Saccharomyces cerevisiae S288C: one gene and its partners. The protein of the gene in region 3 interacts with the protein of the main gene of each other region in a pairwise test. Each region holds a gene or a part of one and is shown on either strand. Other genes may lie near its edges. The genes, in order: UTP9, UTP5, UTP8 and NAN1.

What was found.
Region 1: the proteins of UTP8 (region 3) and UTP9 interact in binary tests that used the Saccharomyces cerevisiae proteins (3 or more experiments, as listed by UniProt).
Region 2: the proteins of UTP8 (region 3) and UTP5 interact in binary tests that used the Saccharomyces cerevisiae proteins (3 or more experiments, as listed by UniProt).
Region 4: the proteins of UTP8 (region 3) and NAN1 interact in binary tests that used the Saccharomyces cerevisiae proteins (3 or more experiments, as listed by UniProt).

Annotation. Positions count from the first base shown.
Region 1 is NC_001140.6:490,379-494,158, forward strand, and holds UTP9 (Utp9p), read left to right. Parts: upstream 1-1,552; coding exon 1,553-3,280; downstream 3,281-3,780. Other genes in the region: MDM31 (Mdm31p), read left to right, coding at 1-18; NVJ1 (Nvj1p), read left to right, coding at 369-1,334; RIX1 (Rix1p), read left to right, coding at 3,518-3,780. UniProt on the Saccharomyces cerevisiae protein: Involved in nucleolar processing of pre-18S ribosomal RNA. Required for optimal pre-ribosomal RNA transcription by RNA polymerase I together with a subset of U3 proteins required for transcription (t-UTPs).
Region 2 is NC_001136.10:1,263,566-1,271,924, reverse strand, and holds UTP5 (Utp5p), read right to left. Parts: upstream 4,455-8,359; coding exon 2,523-4,454; downstream 1-2,522. Other genes in the region: URH1 (trifunctional uridine nucleosidase/nicotinamide riboside hydrolase/nicotinic acid riboside hydrolase), read right to left, coding at 1-862; HPT1 (hypoxanthine phosphoribosyltransferase), read right to left, coding at 1,192-1,857; negative cofactor 2 transcription regulator complex subunit NCB2, read left to right, coding at 5,027-5,063, 5,156-5,559; SXM1 (Sxm1p), read right to left, coding at 5,767-8,359. UniProt on the Saccharomyces cerevisiae protein: Involved in nucleolar processing of pre-18S ribosomal RNA. Required for optimal pre-ribosomal RNA transcription by RNA polymerase I together with a subset of U3 proteins required for transcription (t-UTPs).
Region 3 is NC_001139.9:745,055-753,720, reverse strand, and holds UTP8 (Utp8p), read left to right. Parts: upstream 1-3,629; coding exon 3,630-5,771; downstream 5,772-8,666. Other genes in the region: YGR130C (uncharacterized protein), read left to right, coding at 1-2,327; SYF2 (Syf2p), read right to left, coding at 2,674-3,321; YGR127W (uncharacterized protein), read right to left, coding at 5,985-6,923; YGR126W (uncharacterized protein), read right to left, coding at 7,194-7,886; VSB1 (Vsb1p), read right to left, coding at 8,286-8,666. UniProt on the Saccharomyces cerevisiae protein: Involved in nucleolar processing of pre-18S ribosomal RNA. Also has a role in nuclear tRNA export. It acts between the steps of tRNA maturation/aminoacylation and its subsequent translocation out of the nucleus.
Region 4 is NC_001148.4:306,317-315,893, forward strand, and holds NAN1 (Nan1p), read left to right. Parts: upstream 1-3,893; coding exon 3,894-6,584; downstream 6,585-9,577. Other genes in the region: TBF1 (Tbf1p), read right to left, coding at 217-1,905; HHO1 (histone H1), read right to left, coding at 2,512-3,288; karyopherin KAP120, read left to right, coding at 7,072-9,577. UniProt on the Saccharomyces cerevisiae protein: Involved in nucleolar processing of pre-18S ribosomal RNA. Required for optimal pre-ribosomal RNA transcription by RNA polymerase I together with a subset of U3 proteins required for transcription (t-UTPs).

The DNA of each region.
Region 1 (3,780 bases), on a different chromosome or scaffold from region 3:
CTCGGTGCTATCGCGTGAGGAATACCTACTCCTGTCACTTTCTGTACATATGCATTTACATAGCATCGTTCTTTCTATCAGTTTATCTAATTTGTGACGCATCTTTCTTCTTTCTACACTGCGGAAAATCCTATTTGAAAAAAAATAGACGAAAAATATCAGGACCCACCCCCTTATGAAGGAGAGAAGGGGAAGAGGAGCTGCAAAACAAAAAGGTGAGGCTTCTTCTGTCCAGATTTTTGTGAGTGAGAGAGTGTGTGGGAAGAGAAGGAATTAAACCAAACAAAAATTGGAACCAACAACTGTTGCGTTTGCGTGTGTGCATAATATCAAAAAAGCTACAAATATAATTGTAAAATATAATAAGCATGACTCGTCCCCCATTGGTTCGTGGAATCTTTTCGTTAGGTCTTTCTGTAGCCGTTTTGAAAGGTGTTGAAAAAACAGTTCGTAAGCATTTGGAAAGACAGGGATGGATAGAGCCCCAGAAAGTGGACTATGAGTTAATTTTCACTATAGATAGGTTGAAAAACTTGGTAGATAATAAGCGTGAGGCTTTAACTGCGGAACAACCCGACGCTGGTGAACTGAGCTGGCGTAAAGTATTTAATTTCATTTCCAGACAATCCAGCGAATTGGACACACGAATATACGTTCTTATACTACTCCTATCCTTTCTACTACCTATCGCGTGGACTGTACTGGACGGTGATCGCGAGACCACGCTAGAAGATAAGGATAACGATTGTAATGTAGATCTTATTGAAAACGAAAGGAGGCTGAAGCATTACAACGATGGTGAAAGAGCAGTATTGCAATTTGGTAAAAATAGATCCGAACCTATTATATTAAGCTATAAGGACATGAACGTTTTGGAAGGGGAACATGAGTTTACCTCCAAAGAGGAACACAGTAACAGCCATTTGACAAGCAAGAGCGAAAATGCACTAAACCAAGTAGGGAGTGAAGATTTGTTAGGTTGTCACCTGGAAAAGCAATTGGAAGAAGACAAAAATGAACCGAATGGAGAAGCAGACGGTGAGGATGATAATAACCGGGAAAAGGATTGCAGCTCCAGTTCAGAAGTTGAGTCGCAGAGTAAATGCCGAAAGGAAAGTACTGCAGAGCCTGACTCTCTCTCACGGGATACCAGAACAACCTCTTCCCTTAAATCAAGTACATCATTCCCCATATCATTCAAGGGCTCGATAGACCTTAAGTCGTTAAACCAGCCTTCATCATTGTTGCATATACAAGTATCTCCCACAAAATCTAGTAATCTAGATGCACAAGTGAACACTGAACAAGCATACTCTCAACCATTTAGATACTAATGTACTATATTTCCGTCATCTCGGTTATCATCGTCACTTACAACGAGGTGCGAAAATTTTTTTCTTCTAAAGGTGAGAAGAAAACATGAAAAATTTTGAAAAATTTAACGATGAGATGGAGTTTTCAAGTAACTTTATGTAGTTGAAATACATATTAGTACTCCGTTGCAATATATAACGCCGGGCATTCTCCACGTATATACATACCGTAGTGCACAATGGGCTCCTCTTTGGATTTGGTGGCGAGCTTCTCGCATGATTCCACTCGTTTTGCATTCCAAGCAAGCGTCGCACAAAAGAACAATGTGGATATTTATCCATTAAATGAAACTAAGGATTATGTGGTCAATAGTTCATTAGTGAGTCATATTGACTATGAGACAAACGATATGAAGGTTTCAGATGTAATCTTCTTTGGGTGGTGTAGTGATTTGATAGATACGCAGTCATCCAATATCAAAAGAAAATTAGATGAAGATGAAGGAACTGGTGAATCAAGTGAGCAAAGATGTGAAAACTTTTTCGTTAACGGATTTCCTGACGGAAGAATTGTTGTTTACTCTTCTAATGGTAAGGATATAGTTAATATCATCAAGAATAAAAAAGAGATTTTGGGAGCAGACACAGACGAGTCTGATATATGGATTTTGGATAGTGATAAAGTCGTTAAGAAATTACAGTATAACAATTCGAAACCTCTAAAGACTTTTACGCTAGTTGATGGTAAAGATGACGAAATAGTTCATTTCCAAATTTTGCACCAAAATGGCACTTTATTGGTATGCATTATTACTAAACAGATGGTTTATATTGTTGATCCATCAAAGAGAAGACCCTCTACTAAGTATAGTTTTGAAATATCAGACGCTGTAGCATGTGAATTTTCTTCAGACGGTAAGTATCTGTTAATTGCCAACAACGAAGAATTAATAGCTTACGACTTGAAGGAAGATTCAAAGCTGATCCAATCATGGCCTGTCCAAGTGAAGACATTGAAAACTTTAGATGATTTGATAATGGCTTTGACTACTGATGGTAAAATTAATAATTATAAGATTGGCGAAGCCGACAAAGTTTGTTCTATAGTTGTAAATGAAGATTTGGAAATTATAGATTTCACGCCAATAAACAGCAAGCAACAGGTTCTAATTTCATGGCTAAATGTCAATGAACCCAACTTTGAATCTATTTCTTTAAAAGAAATTGAAACTCAGGGGTATATTACAATAAACAAAAATGAAAAAAATAATGCTGATGAAGCGGACCAAAAGAAATTAGAAGAGAAAGAAGAAGAAGCTCAGCCTGAAGTTCAACATGAGAAGAAGGAGACTGAAACTAAGATAAACAAGAAAGTTAGTAAATCAGATCAAGTTGAAATTGCTAATATTCTCTCATCGCATTTAGAAGCTAATTCAACAGAAATATTGGATGATCTGATGTCTGGAAGTTGGACAGAACCAGAGATTAAAAAATTCATCTTAACCAAGATCAATACAGTAGATCATCTAAGTAAGATATTTTTGACTATATCAAAGTCAATAACACAAAATCCATGGAATGAAGAAAATTTACTTCCGTTGTGGCTTAAGTGGTTGCTGACTTTGAAAAGTGGGGAGTTAAATTCTATAAAGGATAAACATACAAAGAAAAATTGCAAGCATTTAAAATCTGCATTAAGATCTTCAGAGGAGATCTTGCCTGTTCTACTCGGTATACAAGGTAGATTAGAAATGTTGAGGAGGCAAGCAAAATTGAGAGAGGATCTTGCACAACTATCTATGCAAGAGGGTGAAGATGATGAAATAGAAGTTATAGAGCATTCAAATGTAATTAGTAATCCTTTGCAGGATCAAGCATCGCCTGTTGAAAAGCTTGAACCAGATTCAATTGTTTATGCAAATGGAGAAAGTGACGAATTTGTCGACGCATCGGAATACAAAGATTGATCAAGCATTTTAAATATATTTAAGTATATACAAAGAAAAGTTTCACATGAGAAGCACTGATTGATGCAGCTATTAATTTTCAAAAGATTACGTTGTCTTCATCATTTGAGACGGGTCATCGCAAGAAAATTTTTCAATATTAAACTATAATAAAATGTAGTAAAAAATAGATGCAATACTACTATTCAATTTTTGTGGTTTTCCAGTTATCAAACTAAGTATAGACAAAATTTGAGCATGTCAGAGGAATTTATCGCAGTTTCTACTTTGGCTAGAAACCTGGAAATTGCCAAGGGTAATGAGTTTCATACCATTTTGGCGACTTTAAGATCACCAGTTTATATCAATGAACAGCTGCTAAAATCCGAATTGAGCTTCCTTGTTACAAAAATCCTAAAACTTATCAGATCAGGCAATGACTTTGATCTTTGGAAAGGATGTCACACCTCTGTTGTGACTTGCGCCTATAATCCACTGGTCTTATCGACTCATGGAGGTCA
Region 2 (8,359 bases), on a different chromosome or scaffold from region 3:
CATCAATGCAGGATATGTCCATTCTCTTGTAGCGAAATCCAACCGCAGACGATGGATCCCACCCATAAAATTCCAAAAGCGGCATCAAAGCTACCGGATCATGTATAGGTGGGCCCGATTCAAATCCTTGCATATCCTTGTAGGTATGAGCAAAAAATTGAAAAAGCTCCAAAAACAATTCTCGTAACTTGCTGTTATTCTTTTCGTTGTATATCATTTCGTTAACCTTGTAAGTAGCTATGGCCTTGTGAGTTAAATTTAGAGGAACTACTATACATTTGTCCTTTACATCGGGATCACGGAATATGTAATTCGCTGCGTCAGGATCAATCCAAACGTTGAATTCAGCAGAAAGATTTGGGTTACAGTTTCCTAGACCATGGAGTCCACCCCCCATAATGCTAATATATTTGACAGATTTTTTTAGGTATGGTTTACACCTAAAAACTGTTGCTAATGTGGTAAGTGCACCAGTAGACACAAAGGATATCTCTCCATTGTTAGCTAGAATCGCCTCTTCAATGGCCTCAATATACGTTTTATCAGTTCTTGCCTCAAATGTTGGCTTAGGTAGCAAAGAAGTGCCGTCTAAACCTGATATACCATGAATGTCAGGAGCATAATGAGGTTCCCTTTTCCAAGGTCTCTGTGCGCCTTTATAAACTGGAATCGCTTGTGCTTTGCCCATCGCAGTCAAAAGAGAACGGGCGTTGTAGTCAGTATTCTCTGGCGGTGCGTTACCAAAACACGTGCTGATTCCTAGAAGATTGAAAGCTGGATGGAAACAGCCTAATAAAATGGCTATGGCATCATCATGACCAGGATCACAATCTAGCCATATGGGTATTTTACTAACAGTCATCTTTTCTTCAAACAGTCGCTGGTTATTGCTGTCCAACCCTTCCCCAACCTTGCAGATGAGGGAAATTATCTGTTTTAATAAGTTTCGTGAGGTAAAAAAATCAGCAGATTCCATCAAAAGTAGTTGTCACGTATGTGTCAAATATCGCGTTACGTGGTGGTGAACAGAGGGAAAACGTAATCGCGCCTCACAGGTTACCGGTGAGGCTAAGGGAATAAACTTTGAGATAATAATTAGTTATACGTATACATATGGTCGCAGTTATATGCGTTGTCTATTGTACAAATTCTGCTGTATGATTCAAGTTACTGAAGGATATGATATGTCTATCATTGCTTGTGTTCCTGCTCAGGAATAAAGATGTCATTGCCCTGTTCAATAGCCATTCTAGTATGGAAAACAATGTCAGTAGATTCCCATGGATATGCATACCACTTGTCTGGAACAGTTTTAGCTGCAAAATAACGGTTCTTGTCATTCAACATTTCGGCAGGCAAATCTGCTTTCTTTGGTTTTTGCTTATCGTGTAGAACAAAAATCCCGAAGTTTGTTTTCATCTCTGGAGACTTTTCAGTATCGATACCTTTAGCCTTTGCCTGTTCAGCTGCATCCTTTTCCAATTCACTCAAAGCGTAATGAAGTGTGGTACGGGTGTCATCGACTTCGTCAACGATAAGAACGTTCTTGCCGACTAGATCTAATTTACATTGCTCGTAATCAATCCATTGTGTTCTGCTAACCTTAACACCAACTTCCTCAACTTCTGAGCCTACACTGTTCAAATCTTCGTACAAAGACAAAATAATAGCAAAAATTCTGATGGTTGGCACGCCGGGCTCCTTTAGGAACGTACGTAGGATCCTAGCAGGAATGAAACCACCACCACCAATGGCAATGATTAAGTCCGGCTTGAAATTCTTAATTCTCTCAGCGGATACTTGACATAGTTGATGTACGTTGTTGTACGAGATGTATTGCTTATCGTTTGCCGACATTATGGGAACGTAATGGATATAATGAACACGAACGGTAATATAAAAATAAGAAAGATTACAAGGCACTACATCGTATTACTCCAGCTAGATGGAGACTAAAATAAAAAAGTTACGGCAAACCAAACTGCGAAGGGGGAACAAAATCTAACGGAAATTGGGCTTATCAAACATGTTTAAATAGAAAATTCTATAGCAGCTCATCGCTACCCGATTTGGGACAGATGGAGGGGGAAAAATTTTTTTTCCTTTTCTTTCCTAGTAAACGCGAAATATAGAGAAAAAAAATGAAAGAAGTCAGATAAGCGGAAATGATATTAATTGAAATTAATCTAATTAATTTTTTCAGAAGAAAAAAAAAATAAGTGACTCGGAAGGGAAATATGTACTGTCTTTTCTTAGTTAACCAACTATGGTTGTGACGTAAAAGTGGAGTGCTTGCTTGATGTTCCAGATGGCCTTACTGTTAACGATGCCAGATGCAGTTCAAAAAGGATAAACGATTGTGGGGGTCTTTTGACAGATCTTCTTCGCGTGGGATACTTTCGTGATCTTTTTTTTTCTTTTTTCTTTTCTTACATTATGTGGTGAACTCTATATAAGTATTTATGTGCCTAGAGATTATTTTTGTATTCTGATGCGTGAAAGCATTTTATGCATGATATCCTCTATTCCATCTCAACGTCACTATATCCGGCTTCCTCCTCGCCGTCGCTCTGCTCCGTTTCTAAACGGCCATCTTGCTTAGATGAGGTATGCTTCTGTTCCTCTTCGTTGTCACTATCACCTTCTTCTTCTTCTTCACTGCCATAAGATTCTTCACCGTCCTCTATAAGGCCGGCATCATCGAGTTCTTCGTTATATTCAACGTCGTCTTCGTCCTCTTCGACAACTGGTTCGGATGAGTGGATGTCGCCTGCTTCATAGTTCAAAGTTTTGAATTTATTTATAGTACAGTCTAACCTTGCATCCAGTGCTAGTAGCCTTGGTAATAAGTCGGAACGCCTTTTCAAGGTGGAATGTAACGACGATAGAGTAGACATCAAATTTGGAATAGAAACCAAATAGCCACCGTGTATGATTAAACACCATTTTACCCAAACATTCAATGGGCCTTGACGGTGGGTTTGTCTTGCAATCCTCTCTGCCAACCTTTCTAAGAGAATGACAGCCAGTGCTGGTTTCAGACGGAAGATAGTATCCCTAATGACCCTCTCGTCACGATTATTGAGCACTGTTTCCAACAGTGAATGATCATTTGATTGTAGTGCTTGCGACAGAATTACTGTTACCGTCCCGGTTGTCGTAGCAGTCTTGAGATTGGAACCTTTTAAATTTGTTTTTTTCCCACTAATCCTTGCGACGGTGCTTGATTCTAGCTTATCACCAAATGTTTCTGTTAATAGTTCATTGGCCTGTGGGGGCTTGGCCTGTTCTTGTTCCAAAGAAGTCAATTCTCTTTCCCAGCTCTTTATAGCGTCATCAACATGCTTGAAGTTATCTCCAGAGGTGACTCTTGCATTACCTTCCACGTAGTTGGTGGCTGAGGCAAGATCTTTACCGTGTAGATCGCGATCGGCGGACTTATTTTTATTATTCCAATTTAGGGAAATTTCGACGGTATATTCATTAGGGATTTCTCTCCACTGCAAGTTCTTGAAGTAAGGCATAGTAGCATTTTGTAACCACGATACGTTCAAAAGGTCTTTATTAATAAATGCGTTATAAATTGGAACTTTCCTGCCGTCTTTACTGACGATTTGAATCTTTTTGCTGGATTTTTTGGACTTGTTGCCTCTTTTCTTTGTTGAACTCGATACCAATGGATCAACAAAAATTTCCAAGCTACCATCCTCGGTAGTGACTGCGATAGAATCGGCTTGGCCTGAATGAGATAACTCCTTGATATCTGATTCAGCCACAAGGACGCATTTGGTCATACCGGAATGAATATCATATACGTTCAAGAATCTATCACCCTCTGCGCCTGATATGAAAAATTCATTAGTTATAACTTGCAATGTGGACACTGGAGATACATGACCGGGAAATGTCATTACGACTTTTTTCTCTTCGATGTCTATTAAAGAAATGGAATGGGATGCAACCAAAAGTTGTGCAACAGAATCGCCTGCTGGAACAATGGTTAGTTTATTCAATTGAACGCAGTTGTTTATTCTAAAATGTTGTAACAGTTTGAATTGTAACAGATCGAACTGATAGAATGCGTCGCTGGAGTCGATACACCACAGTTGATTACCCATCAAGTCTATGTCTTTGATTTCGTAAGAATTCCCCGTAGTGAATTTATAGGTGACTTCGTTGGCCAATACGGAATATAGCCAAATTTCACCGTTATTCATACCCAATATAATAGCCACTGTGTCGGAAGAAGCCAGGTTTACCCATTTTAAGCACGTCACCTTCAATTTCGAGTCCTCTAAATACAGAAAATTCTCATTCCACACTGTATCAACTCCGGAGGAAGTGGCCCTTTGAGTGGGCTGTACACCAACGCGTTGCTTGTCCAAAGCTACAGTGACATAACACAAATACTGACCTGATGGGTCATAAGCGGACTGTAGAACAGGAGAATCCATCGGTAATGAACAATTATAAGGCAAATGTGTCTTTTACCCTCTTGCTAAGCCAAGTTTAAACTATATATGCTCTGCATCTATCTTTACATACATATATCCTATCCAATACTTGTTAATTTTTTCACCTCATCGCTTCAGCTGCGAAAGATTAGAAAAAGAAATGAAAAAAAATTGGATAAAATTTTTTTGTCAAGAAGCTCATCCCCGTGTTAAATGACAATCAAAGAATAAGGGGAACTGTACAACACGTTCAACCAAAACTATTGTAAAGAAATGCCACCACTATGCAGCATAGCCTGTTCATGCGAATAGTCGCCGCAAAAATTACGATCTGGTTTAATCAGCTCGGGCTCTTATCTTTGGCGTATTCCAGTATGTGCAATTAACTCTTGCACCACTTTAAAACGCCCAGCCCGCTGCACTCTCCCTCCTATATAAATGGAAGCGGTTTTTGGTCGCGCTTTTCGCCCTCTGCTCGCCTTGTCGATTTCTATCGTGCAGAGTTACCAGTATAAGGTGGGCAAGAAATCATAACGATATTTACTAATACAGTTGTACCTATTAATTAATTGATGGCTGGAGACTCCGATAATGTGTCGCTTCCCAAGGGTATGTTAGTTATATTGTTGTTGCAAAACTCAAGCTTTGATGCGGGTACTGAGCGGTTATACTAACTTAGAGAAAACACTGAATGATCTTAGCGACCGTACAAAAGATGATATCTGAAATACTGGACCAGGATTTGATGTTTACCAAGGATGCAAGAGAAATCATCATCAACTCCGGCATAGAATTCATAATGATCCTGTCCTCGATGGCTTCCGAAATGGCGGACAACGAGGCTAAGAAAACCATAGCGCCCGAGCACGTGATCAAAGCGCTAGAAGAGTTGGAGTATAATGAGTTTATACCATTCTTAGAGGAAATATTATTGAATTTTAAGGGTTCCCAGAAGGTGAAAGAAACTAGGGATTCCAAGTTCAAGAAGTCAGGTCTCTCGGAAGAAGAGCTGCTACGACAACAAGAGGAGTTGTTTAGACAGTCAAGGTCCAGATTACACCACAATAGTGTATCTGATCCGGTTAAGTCGGAGGATTCTTCTTGAATAGAAGCTTCTAAACAAAGTAATGCTATATACGAAAATAAACCACATGGGAATATGTTAAGCGCATGCATGTATGTAATAAAAACGAAGACAAGTCCAAAAAAAAAAAAGAACGAAAAAGAAACAACTTTTATATTTGTATATTAGAGTATAAACTAATATCCTTATTTCAAACTATCACATTCCACTATTTTTTTTGTGTTCTCCTCAGTGTTGAGAAACAAATTCCAGAATTACCTGCAAGGAATCTCTCTTAGATTCATCCAGATAATTTATGATTTTTTCGTACTTACCGGCATCTTCGTTTTGCAAATTCTTGAAAAAGGTATGTACTTCCTGGAAAACATTAATTTGGTCTAACACTGTCTCCTTCATATCATCATCACATTCGATAAAGTATTCTTCTTCTTCTTCTGGGGTCAGGTCTCCTTCTAAGGATTTGCCCTCGGTAACAGCATCACGGTTTCTAATTGCCTTTGGCAATGATAATGTCAATTCCACCAGTTTATTGGTCAGGTTATTTAGTAGTGGGCTGACACTATTAGGAACTTCAGGCATCTTCAAAAGGGTTAAAATGACCAGGACTTGTAATTTGATGGCGAAGACACTGTAGAACTTTTCATTAAACCAATTGGTAAAGAAATTTATAGTAAAACCTTCATTTTCCATTATTTGTAAAGTTTCGATTGGTTTAGCAAACAAATTGGCCAGTCCCAGTTTAACGATGCATTTAGAGTCCAATCCTAGCTCATCATTAGTGGATACTTTGATGGCTTTGCTGAATAATGGAATGTCTCTCATGGACAGTGCGAAGTACATTAGAATTTGCATAACATGCTCGATGTCGTAGTCAACTTCACTTTCCAGTTTAGCAGAGAGAATTTCTAGCAGAGGTTGAACATAAGTTTGATCTTGTGGGAAGCCGGTCATCACGATGGTTTCAAAAAAAATACTGTAGGCCTCAAAATAGTCCATGGCATAAGTTTGGAAAGAATCCAATATATCATGTAACAACTCCCATATTGGTGGTGCAATTTGGTTATAAAGCAGATGCGAAGAAATAGTTAAAGCATCCAGTAAGTCGACAGCTTCCGTAATAAAAGAAATTTGTGCATGAAGTACAACAAACTTGACCACGGGAGCTAAGGACTCGATTAATGGAACTTTATTCATTGACATGACCATAGTAGTCATTGTTTGTAACAATCCACTGGCCTGGATTTCCTGCTCTTGGTCACTTGCGCTGTAGGTTTCCGATGGATTTTCTACCAATGCTTGAGCAATACGTAAAAATTGTTCGACTAGGTTTGAAGCTAAATCTTTAGCAAATGGGGATAGTTCATCTGAAAATCTCTCCACCAATGCTTCCATGACTTCAGATAAGATATCGATTTCAAAGATTTTAGACAATTTCAATAGCTTTTCCATCATACCTGGAACATGAGCAGAGACCGCTGGGTGGATTTGAGGATTGGATACAATTAAACATTTAATGGCATCTGCGGCCTCAATTTGGACTGGTAAAACGTTACTGTTTAAGAAGTTGGTATATGTTAACTCAAATAATTGTGACAATATGTTCATATCTTTAAATTCTTCCGAATACAGCGCTATCGTTTCCAAACTTCTTGCAACCAAAAACATGTACTTATCCTGCGATAACAATGGCACGATGAAGTGTCCAAAAATATTCTCCAGAACGGATGGCTCATCTATAAACGAAAACAAGTTAGACAATGTTCTCAAAGCACCCTCTTCTTTAAATGCCATGTTAATATCACTGGAATTGGCATCGAATCTAGTAAAAATATCATTAATGAACGGTAAAATATTGTTCAGTTTCTCAGGACGTTTGGACCCAATCAAGAATATGAAATCTGCTGAAGCAGCATCTGGCGTAGAGCCTTCTCTGTTAATGTCAAAATAACGCCTGGTATATTCCTCTTGGTCATCTTCTAATAATTCGATGGATTGTTCATTAGCACACAAACATGGGAAGATGACGTTCTCAAAAATAATTTGTAAATGTGGCTCAATTAAAGGATAAAGTTGATCTATTGTAACACATTTCTCTAGGAATGAAATTAAGAAATACAAAGAGGAATCGGATAACCATAGTGAATTATTACCCCAAGCTTCAATATCCTTAAAAAATTCTCGAAGAATTATAGGAACAATAGTATTGAAGATATAGTCGATAAATTCCTTGGTGATGGCCTTTGTAATTTTGTTGTATCTTTGCAGGAATCTGTTTAAGTTACCGAACCCCCATTTGTTCACTTTAACCCTTTTGTCTAGGGACCTATCTGCGGGATCCAGTTCCATTACTTCGACTGGTAATGGTTTGGAACATAAATACAAATGTAGTTGCACCCATGACATAATTCTTTCAGGTTGGCTGAAGTATTGAGGCAAGTTGTTCAAACATGCATACTTGAATGACTTCAAAATGAGGTACAATATTTCATTAGATCTGTAATCCGTTTGACTACCGATATTAGAAGCTATCCCTTCCACAATAGGGAAAAGTTCTTCGATAACAGAATCAATATAATCTCTCGACCCAACCATGTCCCACCTATGAGCTTTACAAAGTTGGAACAGTAGTAGTAACCCGGGATAAATGTACGATGCGTCACCGCTCGATAATAAATTCTTGATAATAGGTGCTAAATCCCAATCTTCCTGACCAACAAGTATCCCATTTATGGTTTCAGTCAGGATAGGCCTAATGTGGTTATTTTCACAGTTTTTAACTAAAGTCTCGATTAACCTTTCCTTGATCGAAAGCTTTTCGTCA
Region 3 (8,666 bases):
TTGTGTCCAATGAGCCAAAAGGTAAGGAAGAGTGGGTCTCGCCATTTAGACAAGATGCCCTCGCCAATAGGCAAAACAACCGGGCATATGGGGAAGACGCAAAAAACAGAAAGTTTCCTACCGTAAGTGCTACTTCTGCCTATTCAAAACAGCAACCTAAGGATTTAGGGTACAAAAACATACCAAAAAATGCTAAGAGAGCCAAAGATATTAGATTTCCAACTTACCTAACTCAAAATGAAGAAAGACAATATCAGTTACTAACTGAGTTGGAACTAAAGGAGAAACATTTGAAATATTTGAAGAAGTGCCAGAAAATTACTGACTTAACTAAGGATGAAAAAGATGACACTGACACTACTACTTCTTCGTCCACTTCTACATCATCATCGTCATCGTCATCGTCATCGTCATCGTCATCGTCTTCATCAGATGAAGGGGACGTTACTTCTACTACCACATCTGAGGCCACTGAAGCAACTGCTGACACTGCAACTACGACAACCACTACCACCAGTACTTCTACTACCAGCACTTCTACTACTAATGCTGTCGAAAATAGTGCTGATGAAGCAACTTCCGTGGAGGAAGAACATGAAGACAAAGTGAGTGAGTCTACTTCAATTGGCAAAGGCACTGCTGATTCAGCTCAAATTAATGTAGCGGAACCAATCTCATCCGAGAATGGGGTGTTGGAACCACGCACTACAGATCAAAGTGGCGGTTCAAAGTCAGGTGTCGTGCCAACAGACGAACAAAAGGAGGAAAAATCCGATGTAAAAAAAGTCAATCCTCCCAGTGGGGAAGAAAAAAAGGAAGTGGAAGCGGAAGGGGATGCAGAAGAGGAAACCGAACAATCGTCTGCAGAGGAATCTGCTGAGAGAACGTCTACTCCAGAAACCTCGGAACCGGAATCCGAAGAAGATGAAAGCCCAATCGATCCAAGCAAGGCTCCCAAGGTCCCTTTTCAGGAACCTTCTCGAAAGGAAAGAACCGGAATTTTCGCTTTATGGAAAAGCCCTACTTCTTCATCTACCCAAAAAAGTAAGACCGCCGCTCCATCCAATCCAGTGGCCACTCCAGAAAATCCTGAATTAATTGTAAAGACAAAAGAACATGGTTACCTATCAAAGGCAGTTTATGATAAAATCAATTATGATGAAAAAATTCATCAAGCATGGTTAGCTGATCTTCGAGCAAAGGAAAAGGATAAATATGATGCTAAAAATAAAGAATACAAAGAAAAGCTACAAGATTTACAAAATCAGATTGACGAAATTGAAAATTCAATGAAGGCCATGAGAGAAGAAACTTCTGAGAAAATTGAAGTTAGTAAAAACCGGTTGGTCAAAAAAATCATTGATGTTAATGCCGAGCATAATAATAAGAAACTAATGATATTAAAAGACACTGAAAATATGAAAAACCAAAAGTTGCAGGAGAAAAATGAGGTCTTGGACAAACAAACCAACGTTAAGTCAGAAATCGATGATTTGAACAATGAGAAAACGAATGTCCAAAAGGAGTTCAATGACTGGACCACGAACTTAAGTAACTTATCTCAACAGTTGGATGCTCAGATCTTTAAGATTAACCAGATTAATTTGAAACAAGGCAAAGTTCAAAACGAAATCGATAATCTGGAAAAGAAAAAGGAGGATTTGGTTACCCAAACTGAAGAAAATAAGAAGCTGCATGAAAAAAATGTACAAGTTTTGGAAAGTGTAGAGAACAAGGAATATCTTCCACAAATTAATGATATTGATAATCAAATATCAAGCTTATTGAACGAAGTGACCATAATCAAGCAGGAAAACGCCAATGAAAAAACTCAACTATCGGCAATTACCAAAAGACTCGAAGATGAGCGCCGCGCTCATGAAGAACAGTTGAAGCTAGAAGCTGAAGAAAGAAAACGCAAAGAAGAGAACTTATTGGAAAAACAGCGCCAAGAGCTGGAGGAACAAGCGCATCAGGCTCAATTAGATCATGAGCAGCAAATTACTCAAGTCAAGCAAACCTATAATGACCAATTGACTGAACTACAGGATAAGCTGGCAACCGAAGAGAAAGAACTGGAGGCAGTCAAGAGGGAAAGAACGCGATTACAAGCTGAAAAGGCTATCGAGGAACAAACTCGCCAGAAAAACGCTGATGAGGCCTTGAAGCAAGAAATATTGAGTAGGCAGCACAAACAAGCTGAAGGTATACACGCGGCTGAAAACCACAAAATACCAAATGACCGTTCACAAAAGAATACGAGCGTCCTTCCAAAGGACGATTCCTTGTATGAATATCATACTGAGGAAGACGTCATGTATGCCTAAAAAAAATAATATTCCACTTTTGTTCAAGGAATATCCCACCTCTATTTTATTTTTCTCTTCTATTCTTTGTCGAGTATCATCAAGTTATCCTTTGATTATTTTCACCCTTCCTAATCTACCTCTCTTTGTAACCGTTTTATGTACCAATATTTACTCAATCAACAATTTATCAACCAGTTAGTTATTCTCTAGTGTTTCGTGCTCAAATAACCGAGTAAGATGGACTCTCTTCTGAAGCACTTTTGCGGGCATTTAACCTCAGCTCGTCACGTGACGGTCGATGAAAAATCCAGGGTATTAAAACTTTCCTTTGGTTATATCGGTATATTCTAAATAAAAGAGAAGCTTATTCTGATCCTTTTGATTCCCTGCTCAATTTTTCATTGAATTGTTTATTTTTGTCATTAATGAAGCTTTCAACCCCATACAGTGTTTTTGCATTTTGCATTTGTCTTTTTCTTGCTTCGTATCTTTTTTTCGACTCAGATTGCAAAGAAACGGCCAACTTATTAACTAGCTTGTCGTCATCTGCAATTGTTATCTTACCCGTCTTAGTGTCCTTCTGTACCTTGCCGATTCTACCCTTCTTGGGTACGTTTTTATTGTCTTCTTCATCGGCGGAACTATCCTGTTTGCTCGAATTCTGTGTTTGCGTAGCGAGATTCCGCAAGGTCTTCTCATAACTCAATTTTGCAAGTTGATCATAGGAAATTCCACCTCTTTGGCTTTGCCCAGTCTTCCCTTGAGGATGCCTACGTTCCCACGCATCATATTCTTGGACAGTGTAATGAAATGCTTTCTCTTTTTCAGGACTTTCTGTATCTCCTACTGATTCATCTGCATCATTTACGTCTTCCATACTGTATACTCTTGGTTTTCGATTTGCGCTTACTTCCTGAATCTCTCTGTCAGCCAACTTCCTACTCTTTATAGATACATCTACTCTTTTCCTTTTCAACTCCTTCAGCTTCTCGTCTAATTTGTAAAAATCCATTCTTCGAATACTTTGACAAGATATGGTTTTGCTTCGCTTACAGTTCAATAGAGAAGTCAAACATTGTCATTGAGAGCCCCTCATCGCAAATATTGCTCTTTTAAGGAAAATATAGTAATATTCTAGCTTTTTTGTCATTCTACACGGAAATGTCTGTATTTTTCAAATTTTTTCATTATGCTGTAGCAGATGCCTGAAAAATTTGAAAACTTTGATGAGATGAGGTCACTGTTAAATTTGTAATATTATATGTCACACCTAGCGCTCCTTGAACAGCAAATCATTCCGGAGGATAGTAAAGATTCAAAATGCCATCCCTGTCTCAACCATTTAGACTAGCAACTCTCCCAAAAATTGCTTCATTGAGCAATTTTTCTTTACAAGCAGATTACGTTCAAGTCGCAGATGGCACCTTTAATGAATCTACAAATAACATAACGTTAGGTATTTCCGGGTCATCTATATCTCAATATATTATTAATCCTACACCAAAGTTAACATTCGATTACCCAATACCCTCTACAAATATTATCACGGCATGCAATGCTGAGAAAGGTCAAGCGAACATTGACGGAAATATAGAAGCCAGTACCGATGATGAAGCCAACAACGAGAAGACTATCAACACCCAAAAAAAAAGAAATGTTGAAATTTGGGCCTTTGGTTTAATGGTAAATAAGGGTAATTATACGCTAAATGTTATCACTAAGGCACTGGAAGATACCACTGATACCTCAAATGACCATCTGAGTGAGAGTGATATTGACAATAAAGCATACACGGGTTCAGACGAATTTTTATCTCAGTATAAGATCAAGGCGAAAGCCAAAGTCATGAGTATTAAAATTGACACCAAGAACAGCTTAGTAATTGCAATTTTACAGAACGGGTTGATTGAAATTTTTGATTTTAAGTTAACACTTTTGCATTCATTTGATATATCTTATGATAACTTAAAATATGCTAAATGGTTCACTGAAAATGGAACTGAATATGTTTTTGTTCTCTGTCCATTACAGGATGATAAAGTCTGCTATAAATTGCTCGAGCTAACAGATTGTGGCAGTGGAGAAAGTTCGCCCATAAAAGAATTATCATCTACTATCATCGAAGGATTTTCTTTTGAAAATTCAAAGCTTTGTTATCAATTTGGAAAACTTTACAAATTGAACCAGGGGAAAATATACATTTACTCTTTACCACATTGCCAATTGCAACAAGTTATTGAATTTCCGATGGTGGATAAACTCAGTCCTGGAGATGACTTAATCTCTTTCCAACCTGTTTCAGTAAACAGAGTTCTACTGACCGTAAACAACGTCATTTATCTACTAGACTTACTGCATTGTTCTACTTTAAGCCAAAGAGAATTAACTCACGTGAAAACATTCCAACTATTAAAATCTGCAGTGATCAATTCAGAAAAGTCGCATAATTCAAAAACAATAGCAATTGGTATTTCAACGAAAAATGGACCAAACCCAACGTCTTCCTTAGAAATAATTAATATTGATGTTGGAACTAATACGTTGAAGGACTCATTAGGCAAGAGTTTTCAAGTTGGAAATAATGATAGCTCAGTTATTTTAAAGCCGCTATTTGATGATAAAGACATAAATGACAAGAGAGTGAAATGTAACGACGTCAGCGGGGATTCAAGCGTTCCAGTCCTCCACTGTAATGAAGTTATTGAAAAGCTTTCAGCCCTTCAAGATAATGACATTACATCATTTGATGACATATTTTTCAAAGAACTAAAAATCAAAGAAGAACATTATACTGAAAAAGATAGATATATTTCTGATCCTGGCTTTTTGAATAAAGTTTTAGATCTAATTTTCGGAAAGTTTAGCGGAAATGATTATCCAAAAACTTTAACGTTTTTATTGACACACCCATTGTTTCCATTGAGTCGTACACGCAACTTGCTATCCTTACTAAGAGACCAACCTAGATTATTTAAACAAGCAATTGTAACATGCCCAAACTTGCCATTAAATGAACTACTTGAAGAATTGTTTTCTATCAGAAACAGGGAACTATTACTTGATATCTCATTTAGGATTTTGCAGGATTTCACCAGAGACTCTATTAAACAAGAAATGAAGAAACTAAGTAAATTAGACGTTCAAAATTTCATTGAGTTCATAACAAGCGGTGGTGAAGACAGCTCACCAGAATGCTTCAACCCTAGCCAAAGCACGCAGCTATTTCAACTCTTGTCCCTTGTGCTAGATTCTATCGGGCTATTTTCATTAGAAGGTGCTCTATTGGAGAACTTAACCTTATATATTGACAAACAAGTTGAGATTGCTGAAAGAAATACCGAATTGTGGAATTTGATTGATACGAAAGGTTTTCAGCATGGGTTTGCTAGCTCAACCTTTGATAACGGAACTTCTCAGAAGCGAGCCTTACCCACTTACACCATGGAATACTTGGACATTTGAGTATGCAATGAATTTGATTGTATTGTATAATACCTATATAGAAAAGGAACTAATATATATAGCGTCTACTGTGGTTACTGATAAACTAACAGGCATTTAGAATTTGAAAACATCATATACATTAGATGTGTCCAACAAGAGATACCGGAATGTTCTGAGGGGAAGAAGATGGAATTTAAAGCTAGTTTGAAATAAAATGGAAGATTGTGATTTTTACAATTTGAATTTAAACCTTTTTTCCTCCTTAGGTGAGGTTACCGAATACTTGCGCACGTCTTCATCTGAGCTATAAAGGACCCTTTCTATAAAGGTAACTCTCGTTGAATCCTTACTCACGAGTAAAACTATTTGAGAGCGAGTTCCGTAGTAATCACCATCAGGAATTGAGGCACCTAAGTCATCCCTGGGAGGCCTCCGTAAAGGTGGTACGTATATGGTATTCATGGTTACATTTGGATCTACCATCTGCAAGACATCTGGGTTTGAAATAGTGCTTGGAAGGGAAGACTTCGAGGCGAGTTGAAAGCAACTTGATATTATTTTCTCCTCATCTGATTCAATATTCTCTAAAACTAGATTTTCTAAACTATCACGTGCTACCTTTACTTTTTCCCAAGCCTGCCCTGGTATACTGGAGCTGTCATAAAATTTACCATTAGAAACAACCATGTAAGAATCAAGATCTTTCCTACAGGTAGAACTCAACACATCAAAAGTTCTTCCTAGAGAATCAATAACTTTATATTGCTTTTTGATAACGTCGCCGTAAAAAAAATTAAAATCACCTGTGGACTTCAACCCATCATAGTGACCTTCAAACTTTTTGTAATTATCCCAATCTTCAAAATCTGCTTTATGGATCGACAAAAATATAAATGGTAACAGACCACGGGATCTTGATTTCGTATTATTTTGCTCATTGTCAAGTTTTAAATTAAGAATAGTGGCTAATTTTCCTTCTTTATTTATGCCAGACCAAGTGCCAAATATTTGTTTTTCTGCTGAGGTTTTGGCCAGATCGTAGGGTGAAAGGATAAAATCATTGTTATGCCAGCATGTAGCATGTGTTTTTCTTGCCAAGAATTCGTCTCTGTTAGATATTAAGATGAGTTCATAGTCAGGATGTGCCCTTGTGGCCATTAAAATGCACATTATTTGTTCGTTAGTTTTTGGTTTTTAATACTTTAGCCACAGGTGTGTTAATAAATGCAAGCGTTTCTTTCCTTTTCTGCCTCACTTCATATACTACTATCCTACTCCACTTTCAGGGGGAGACTATTTTTTTAGCGCTTTAGGAATTGAACGAAAAAGTCGAAAGCTAGGCAGATGCCAAGAATATAATGTGAGGCAAAAAAAAAAAAAAAAAAAAAAAAAGAATGATTCTGAAGTAAACGCATTGCGAACTAAATGTTGCTATGCCACTTAATCGAAAATTCTATGAAAAAACCCCTTGATCCCCTTTTCTGATTTATGTTTTTGATATTTTTCGATCCTCTTCTTATTCTTCTCTACTGCCATGTTCAACTTGTTTGGTTCTAGAGAAGAACCTTGAGAATTTGTAGTAACCTTGGATCGTGTCGAATGCATATCTGTATGGTCGTTAATATGCTCTTTTTTAGTTGAGGATACGCGAGAGTCCTCCCTCTTCAAACTTTCAAGCGTCTTCAATTTGACCAACCCGGTTTCAGTTTCTAAACGATACTCTTCTGGAAATGCAGCATCGTGAGCTGAGTTTGTTACTGGGGCGGTAATATCCGGAAGAGCTTTCTTGTTCAAATTTAAACCATCTTCTTTTAAGGAATCAACTGTTTCTGAGTTGCCCTCTAAAGCATTGTGGGTAACCATCTTTTCTATCGAATTTGAAGTTGGCCTTTTTAAAGTACTAGAACTGTGATGAGAATGCACATCTGAATGACGGTGTTGATCATCTACATTACTATCATCTTCCAGTTGCCCCTTTCCAACAATGGTATCGTTTTTTAAAAGAGGCTGTTCTGGAGCTTCAGAATCTTTGAACCCAGTAAAGGGCTCCGGTTTGTAAGAGTCAATAGAAGAAAAGGACGATATGTCTTCATATTCATTATCGGTAGTGACAGTAACAGATGGGACAGGCATAGTCTACGTTGATACGTTGTTATGACTTTGATTTGTTAATGCGGATATAAACTAACCGTACAACTACCCGTTGTGAATTGTTGTGGTAGTATATTAATGAAAAAAGTAACGGTATTTTTTTTCTTTAGGAGAGCAATTAAGTCAAGTGAGGTATGTAGTTGCTCATCGATGGGAATTATCACTTTTCGTCTACGATAGGGGCCCTATCAAAGAAAATCGCGCAGTAAAATTCCGGAAGTGAAGACTCAAGTACAAAAAGTTTATAGTCGAGATGGTAAAAATCCTACAACGGCATCACTTATACAGATGCAGGAGCATCCTGCTTTTATTTAGTACTGGTGTAAATTACTTGCAATACGCCGGCAATAAAAGAAATTAAATAAATATACGTGTACGCTCTCATGCGCTAACAAGTGTGTAACCTAGTAATTCTTTGAATCTGGTGTCCTTGATACACATGACCATTAATGCAACCTCCACGTACAATGCTAGATTGTCTTCTTTCAATTTGTTCAACGAGCTAGAGTCTATAACCCATAATACGGAATCAGTTTCAGTTTCGATGGTGAGCTTTTGTTCTCTAGGCATAGCATTCCCTGGCGCAATGATTTTTCCGAAGCATGTGCCATTTGAAAAAATCTCGTACAAGGTTCCTTGTGGTAGTTCATATGTTGCCTTCAACATACCTGTTTCCACAAGGAAAAAAATGTTGTCTGCATGTAGTAAATGTGATTGACTTGCTAATCTGCGCCTGGTGAAGTAGGGGCAGAGTTGTGCCCA
Region 4 (9,577 bases), on a different chromosome or scaffold from region 3:
GAGAACATCAAATATATACATTCCAATGTAATAGAAAATGGAAAAGAAAAAAGAATAAAAAGAAAAACACGAGGGGACCAGGTTGCTAGAAGATAGGGTGACCACGTCAAAAGAATATACCTAGGGAACCAAACAATGCGAAGTTAACAACCCATCAAAGTATTTTTAATAGTGAGTGGTTCAATAGAAAATTAGAAGTCTGTTCATTTAAGCGCGCTACATCCCATCTTCTAAATGAGGATCAAAACCTGTATTGTCCGATGTACTATTGCCAAAAAGTCCGTTAGATGGCATATTATCACTATTTTGCCCATGTGAATCCTCTTGATGAGTTTGAGTGTCTTCAGTAGCAGATGCAGCTGATGAAGGATGCTGAGATAAATTTTGTTCCATAATAGTTGACGAATTTGGAGATTGAGAGAATTTTTTCTTTGCCTTGTAGATTTTCTCCAAGTTACCGGTCACTTTTATCAAATAGTCAGGCAATGGTTTGCCACTCTTCAAGTATTGTAATTTCCAATTACGGGCTTTATCTTTCAGTTGTACCTGCGTCCTGTTCTTCAAATTTTCCGTGATTTTACCACCGGGACCATATAAATCTAGAATCTTAGACCACGATGGGCCAACCTCTTTCAGGCCTTCCACTAATGCTTCTTCTTCCTCTTTGGACCAAGTTCTTTTCGCCTTTGGTTTTCTTAATCCGATACTACCATTATTGTTGCTGTTACTGCTGTTGTTATGAGAGGAATGAGGACCAGAGCTGCTGTTGCTCATCGAGGCCGCAACAGCGGCATCCACAATGGATTGTGTGATAGCGGGGTTTTTGGAAGACACATCTGTGGTAGGTGTATGTGTGCTGTAATGATTCGGACGAGCAGTTGACAAAAAAGCAGACGCACTGCTTGGCTGATTTTGGTCGTCCATGAATTCTACGGTCCTGGTCCCTGTAGAAAAGAGTACTTGAGGATCAAACTCGTTGACATCAAAGTCATATAATGGTGATTTTCCGCGACCCTTTCTGCCCCATATGATGAGACCCATATTTTTATTACAATAATCCAGCAACTCTCTGATAAATTGAGCCCATTCGTAGCTCTGGGTCAGAGAGTTAAAATCTTGGACGATCTTTAAATTTTCTCTCCGACGATCGCACCTTTCGACGAAGTCCTTCTCCGATGGAGTCAAAAGTGTAATGTCTCCAGAATCGCCGGTTCTTCTCTGCACGAGAATATCAGCCAGATTGGATGGGAAGATTAAGTCTAGTAGCTCTTGTTTCTTTTCTAAAGAAATTTCGTTCGTCTCGTCCTGAAACTCTTTCAAGCCGGCAATGTAAGCCTGTGTTTTCAGATCAAGATATAGGATAGCCTGCGATTTCAAAAACTTTCCGCTTTGTTCCAGGGAGTTGTTACCGACAGTGTTTGTATTTGGACAGAAAATATCGAGAAATATCGACTGTAGCAGCTCAAACCCGTAATTAAGGCAGTTCAGCGACGTCAATAGAAATGTTAGCAGATTCGCCTTTCTTATGGCAGTAATAATAAACGCTTCGTGGCCTCTCAATATAAGGGGGGGAGGGGAGTTGGGAAACCATAAACCAGGCGCCACGTCGTGAACAGACAGTAACGGAGATCTGGTGTGGTAAATCATTCTGATCTGCTTAAAGAGCTTGACTAACGTTTGAAAAATTTCTGTTTCGCCTGAGCTTAGGAAAGCCGTCTGGTCCGTCAAAACCGCTATAATATTGGGAGAGTTGGCATTAAGGATAAGAAACCTCAGTAGTTGAGTGGAGATATTGTCCAGCAGACATAATGAGCATATGGTCAACCTAGTTCTTGCAGGCAGGCTTTGGATGATGTCATTGAAGCGGTTTAAGCTTTCGTTATTATTGGGCACTTGCGAATCCATGACAAATGGGGAAAGAAGTGAGTAAAGAAAAACTAATGTAAAATGATTTCTGTCGCAGATGGGACAGCCACAATCTTAAATGTTGGCAAGGATATAGGAGCAAAACGCCAATATTGAGATGATTGTTTATTATAATGTTTACAAGGAAGGGCAAAGCATTGAGGAAAATTAGTCGGAATGAGGTCTCGCCGGGCTTCTACGGAAAGGGGCGAAAATTAATAGGGCACGGTGCAGAATATTAGGGCTTCAAATGTTCAGATTTTAAAGCCTTTTCTTCAAATACAATAATTAATTTTACACACTGTACCTTGCATATATAAGAGAAGAGAAATTTATAAACAGTATAGTTAGTTAGTTAAGAATGGAATTTGAATAAAATCATAAAGGAGATATTTACCGAATAAGTAACAAATAGAGAAGGGAGAGATTAAAAAATGAAAATTTACAGTACCGCCAACAAACACTTGAATAAGATTGAAAATTAGAGAGAAAAAAATTTAGAAATAATACAAAATACTAATAGTGATGGGACACAAAAATGAAGAAAGAAAATAGGTTTGATAGTATTGCTATCACCATTGACATTCTCGTTTGGATATTCACTTTTTACGTGGAGAGTTTGACCTTCTTCTTGTTTAGTTTAATAATGCCGGAGGGGCCCTTTGGTTGCACTAACTCGCCGTTTTCAACACATTTCTTGATAGCGCTATTGAACAGATAGTCAAAATTTGAGCTTGTTTTCAACTTGGAGGAGAAAGTGTCCTTGACATACTTCTTTAAAACGATACGGCTGGAGCCCTTACCGTCATTAAGTTGAGGCATGCTTTTAAGGATCATTTCCTTGTAGGTCAATGAAGAAGGCGAAGAGGCCTTCTTGGCGGTAACAGTAGGCGATTTTTTTTTCACTACTTTCTTTGGCGCTAGCTTCGTGGATGCGGCTTTCGCTTTTGATGCGGTTGCACTCACAGAAGTGGCGGCTTGCTTGGGTTTTGGACTGACCTCTTTTTCTTTCTTTACTTCTGGAGATTTCTTCTTGGCCAGTTTCACAGCACCAGCGGGTCCCTTTGGCTGTTCAAAATCGCCGGCCTCCACACCCTTCTTTATGGCATTGTTGAAGTACAAATCAAAGTTGCTTGCGGATCCGACGATCGGGTAGTTTTCCTTGATAAACTTCTTGAGTGCCGGACGACTGGATCCCTTACGTTCCTTCAAAGCCGTGAGCCCTTCAATGATCAACTCCCTGTAACTCTTGGAGGAAGCTTCCTCCTTTTTTGCCGTGGTTTTCTTGATAGCGGCCTTGGAAGTTGATTTCTCCTTGCCTTTGCTGGTTGCAGGCTTCTTGCCCTTACTTGTGGTCTTGGTAGTGGATTTCTTGGGTGCCATGTTGCTTTAGTTGTATTATAATTGCTTCCCTCGCTGCCAAGCATTATCAGGTGCCCATAAATAACAACTCCCCAAATCTATAGTTGCTCCTCCTCTTTAAATAAAGGCAGATAAACAAAAAACTTTGACCGCCCGCTTTTCCACACAAAAAACAAACAACAGCAGAAAACGCGACGCGAAAATGAAAAGCCAAAGAGAACAAACAAAAATCATCCATCAAACCTGTTATTGTGCAGAATAGCTTTTACCTAGACGCAAGTCCCTAGGAGGGGGCATTTTTGACACAGAATAGCATTTCATCAAAGCAAACAGCAACTTCTTGGAGATTTGTATTGCTTGGCATGTCAAAATCTAGCGGTCACATCAGTAGGGTAACAAAATAGCACGTCAGGGTTAAGGCGGCCTACTGCTTAGGGTACGTGGTAAGTGATGTAAAATGTGAGAAGGAGAAACTAGAAAAAAATTTTCCTTTCTTTTTCCTAGCGATGAGATGAGATGAAATTTTTCGAACAAATGATTTTTGGCACAGTTTACATATCAGTTATATTGGCTGTCGTCACAGGAACTACAAGTACAAACCAGAACCATTTTAGCTGATCACCAGAATGACGCAATCCCTAGGTATCGAACAGTATAAACTGTCAGTCGTATCTGGTGGGAAACCCGCTTTGAATAATCTCAGTTCAGTAACCGGCAATAAGAATATCGCCCGCCTATCACAAGACCAACGAAACTATATTATACCCTTTAACAATCAGATCAAGGTGTATTCTGTGGAAACTAGACAATGTGTTAAGACTCTAAAGTTTGCAAATAACTCCTTGTTATCCGGAATATTTCTGCAAGAAGAAGAGAATAATGAATCGATTGTAAAGATTCTGCTGGGTGATATAACCGTTCCGCAACAAGAAGACGCTCATCTGATTACCGTATTCACCAATAATGGTCATGTAATTGTTTTAAATTATAAGGGGAAGCTGGTCGAGTCCCCTAAGCATTTCAAAATCTCTTTGGCAGATGAAAAGCTTGCAAATGTTTTCCATAGCGAGGGCAACTATAGAATTTTGACAACGTTCAAGGACCCTAGTCAAAAGGCACATAACTCTTTGCAATCGTACAGGTTATATGCATTAACCTTTGACGATGCTAAAAAGCAATTTGAAGTGGCTCATCAGGCAGAATGGCACAACGTTATCTTGTCAAATATTTCTTCCAATGGTAAACTGCTAGCGCATATGTGCAAAGACGTCTCAACAAAAGATCACGAACACAAATCCATCTCAGTTGTTTCGCTTTTTGATGATTCTGTAAATTTAAGCTTTCCCCTCGGTTCCATCCTTTCTTCACAGACTCAATCCCTATCCTATAACACAAGGTACGTTTCTAGCATGGCCATAGACAATATGGGTCAACAACTGGCTGTTGGATTTGCCTCCGGAGTTATAAGTATCGTAAGCCTGGCCGATCTACAAATAAGACTGCTCAAATGGCATATAGACTCTGTGCTGTCACTCTCATTCTCTCACGATGGATCCTATTTGCTATCTGGTGGTTGGGAAAAAGTTATGAGTTTATGGCAATTGGAAACAAACTCTCAACAATTCCTGCCTCGTTTGAACGGTATTATAATCGACTGTCAGGTATTGGGACCTCAAGGGAACTACTACTCTTTAATCCTACAAATGACTGAAAACAATTCAAATTCTGACTACCAATTTTTACTTTTGAATGCTTCTGATTTGACCTCCAAATTGTCGATTAACGGGCCATTACCGGTGTTCAATAGCACCATAAAACACATTCAGCAACCAATCTCGGCCATGAATACCAAGAACTCCAACTCAATTACCTCTCTCAATCACTCTAAGAAGAAACAATCTAGAAAACTAATTAAATCGAGAAGACAAGATTTCACCACTAATGTAGAAATAAACCCTATTAACAAGAACTTGTATTTCCCACACATTTCTGCTGTTCAAATTTTTGACTTCTATAAAAATGAGCAAGTTAACTATCAGTATTTAACATCAGGTGTCAACAATTCTATGGGTAAAGTTAGATTTGAACTGAATTTACAAGACCCAATAATAACTGATTTGAAGTTCACCAAAGATGGGCAATGGATGATTACATACGAAATTGAGTATCCGCCAAATGACCTCTTATCTTCCAAGGACTTAACTCATATCTTGAAATTTTGGACCAAAAACGATAATGAGACAAATTGGAATTTGAAAACGAAAGTAATAAATCCACACGGGATAAGTGTCCCAATTACCAAGATATTGCCTTCACCAAGATCAGTTAATAATAGTCAAGGCTGTTTAACGGCTGACAACAACGGTGGACTGAAATTTTGGTCCTTCGACTCTCATGAGAGCAACTGGTGCTTGAAAAAAATTTCTTTACCAAACTTTAATCATTTCAGTAACTCCGTTTCTTTAGCTTGGTCTCAAGACGGGTCTCTAATATTCCATGGTTTCGATGACAAGTTGCAAATTTTAGATTTCGACACTTTTAAAAAGTTTGAATCATTGGAAAATACAAAGACGGTCAGTGAGTTCACGTTAGACTCTGAAATCCAAACCGTCAAGTTGATTAATGACACAAATTTAATAGTGGCCACCAGGACTACATTAAACGCCATCAACTTATTGCGGGGTCAAGTCATAAATAGTTTTGACTTATATCCGTTTGTTAACGGAGTGTATAAAAATGGTCACATGGATAGGCTTATTACTTGTGACGAAAGGACAGGCAACATTGCCCTGGTTATAAATCAACAACTAACTGATCTCGATGGCGTACCAACTATCAATTACAAATCCCGTATTATTATATTCGATTCTGACTTATCTACAAAATTGGGTAATTTTACGCATCATGAATACATATCTTGGATTGGTTGGAATTATGATACTGATTTCATATTTTTGGACATAGAATCAACACTAGGTGTTGTCGGAACCACTGTGAATACTCAACTATCTGATGAAGTTAATAACGAAGGAATATTGGATGGCCTGGTAAGTAACACCATCACAACTTCGGCATCCAATAGCGATATTTTTGCAGAACAATTGCATAAACTGTCGTCTAGGGGCAAAAAAAGTGACACTAGAGATAAAAATACCAATGATAACGACGAAGATGAAGAAGATATCGCTTTGGAATTTATAAATGGCGAAAAGAAAGATAAGCTAGTCAATATGAATAGTTTTACGAGCATGTTTGACAACATTCAAAACGTGCAAATGGATACATTTTTTGATCGTGTGATGAAAGTATTAACATAGCTTTAGGGTTCTTCCATTGGATATCCAAAATAGATATAAAGGTATATATATATATATATATATATATATGTTTATAAAGCAAACCGAAAGCAAAAATATCTGTATAACTTAGTTACAAGGGAAGGGAAGAGAATGCATTGGTTAATAGGAACAGACACTTCGTAAAAAGCTTCACAATCATTAATGTTAATAGAACTATCATAATATACAAAAAATCTCTTCATACGATTTTTGTTTGATGAGCATCCTCAGTCAAGATGAATAAAATAATCTCTCCAAATAAGCCGCCTCTTTTTTTTTGAATTACACTTCTATAGCGTACATTTCCATGTAAGAAGATTGAAGTTTCAAACAATTGGGTAGCTTAATATTTGTCAAACTTCTTGGTAGGTGTTGTGTTTAAGAAAAAGGAGGCACCATAAACTATTAACTTTTTAGCTTGCCTCAACTGTCAACCGAATCAAATTTTAAAAGGCGTTAAACAAAAATGGCCTCGTCTCTTAACGAGTTAAACTTGGTTCAAGTACTTGAACAAGCAAGTAACCCACAACATATTAGGTCAGATGTTCAAAAATTAGCCGAACAACAACTAAGACAATGGGAGACTCAAGCGGGATTTCATTACTTATTACAGTCAATCTACCTTAATTTATCTAATTCTTTACAAATTAGATGGTTGGCGGTAATTCAATTTAAGAACGGCGTGGATAAATACTGGAGATCCACTAGAATTAACGCTATACCTAAAGATGAAAAAGCCTCGATAAGAGGTCGTCTTTTTGAAATGATCGATGAACAGAATAATCAACTTTGTATTCAGAATGCCCAAGCTTCCGCAAGGATTGCAAGGCTAGATTTTCCCGTAGAGTGGCCAACCTTATTTGAGGATCTAGAAAACCTATTGAACGATGAGATCATCAGAAAAGATTCAGTTAAGATTTACAATATATTGATGCATATAAATCAAATCGTTAAAGTATTAGGTACTGCGAGAATAGGAAGGTGCCGACCCGCTATGCAAAGTAAAGTTCCTTTGATATTACCACTAATTGTCAGGATTTATTTACAATCATTTGAAGAATGGACGACATCCTCCAATCTCAACTACGAGGATCTTTCCAGTTTACAAGTTTCTTACCTAGCTTTGAAAGTGCTCAGAAGGATAATTTGTGAAGGATACGACCGCCCTCAAACCGATCAGTCTGTTTGCGATTTTATTAAACTATCCGTTTCACACTTTGAGATGTTAATTTCAAACCATGAAAACTTCAAAAAGTTTGATATTTACGAAAAGTTTATCAAATGCCTAGGAAAGTTATATTTCAATTTAGTCACTGGCTCTCCGGCTAATTTCATATTACTGCCATGCTCTACGCAAATTCTAATCACTTATACTAGGCTAATTTTCGATAAGGCCCCTAAAGTATATAGAGAGAATTCTGATGTCACGGGGGACTTTTGGGAACAGACTGCTATTAGAGGGCTTTTAATTTTGAAAAGGGTCATTAATTTCATTCACAAAAAGGGGGCAATTACGTTAAAAGCAAGAAGTGATAAACTAACCATAGATGCTTCTATCAACAAAATCAACACAGAATTTCTGAATGAGAATTTGATAACAAGGTTGGTTGACACTTTAATGGAATGGTACTTGAGGTTAAGACCAACTGAATTAGAAAATTGGTTTATGGATCCAGAAGAATGGATAAACGAACAAATGGCCACGAGTTACGAATATCAAATCAGACCATGTGCAGAGAACGTTTTTCAAGACTTAATGAATACTTTCTCTGAGCTGTTGGTTCCCTACCTGTTAAAGAAAATTGAAAATGATGCTTCAAAGCTATCAAACTCATTAGACGATTTTTTAAGGAAAGACGCAATTTATGCAAGTTTCCAATTAAGTGCATCCGCTGTTAGTGAAATGGTAGATTTTGACAGGTTACTAATTCAGGTTTTTTTACCAGAAGCTACAAATACAAACATATCAGGCGACGAATTAAGGATTATCAGAAGAAGAGTTGCTTTAATTATAAACGAATGGTCTACTGTGAAGTGTTCGGAAGAATCTAAAAGTTTATGTTACAAGTTATTTACAAACTTCCTGACAGATGAAGACGACAAAGTTGTTTTGTTAACCACAGTCCAGACTGTCAGAACCATGGTTGATGACTGGAACTTCAACAAGGATACTTTTCAGCCATTTTTAACTGAAAATGTTCATTTATTGTTGAGGAAAATTTTACCATCTGTGTCGTTAACCGAGACAAGGCTATATGTTTTAAACACCTTGAGCGATATCATAATTCAAACAAAACCTTTAATTAGCAGGGATCTATTAGTCGAAATTTTGCAAATCATACCAAACCTTTGGGAAATAGCAACAAATAATGCTAGTGAGGCTATTTTGGCAAACGCATTGTTAAGGTTATTGAGAAATTTGGTATCATCTTTGGGATCACAGTCACATTTAACGTGGGATATCGCCATACCTGTGGTTGCATTAGCCTGTGATCCCTCTTCTATGCAATATCAGTTGTTAAGCGAAGACGGGTATGAACTATGGGGCATGCTTCTTCAAAATTTTTCATCCCACGATCAAGAGTTTGACGATAAGTTCGTTGAATTGGTGCCATTTCTAAAGTATGGTATTGAGACACACACAGAGATTCTCCCAACTTTACTTGAAATTATCAAAAGTTATGCTCTGATTCTGAATCCTGTGGATTTTTTCTCTAACAACACATTTCAAGATATTTTTAAACAAATGTCTAAATATCTTTTAAAGTTAAGGGAAGATTCATTTCAGTTGGTTTTAGAAATCTGGGAAATTTTGATATTATCCAATGAGTCGGATTACGAAAATCTGTTATTGCAAAAATTCTATGAAACCGGAGTATTATCAGCATTATTCGATGCCATTTTCCTGGAAGAAGCTCCTTCATCTTATTTATGCTCGCAAATCATTCAAATCATCGCTAGAATATCCTACG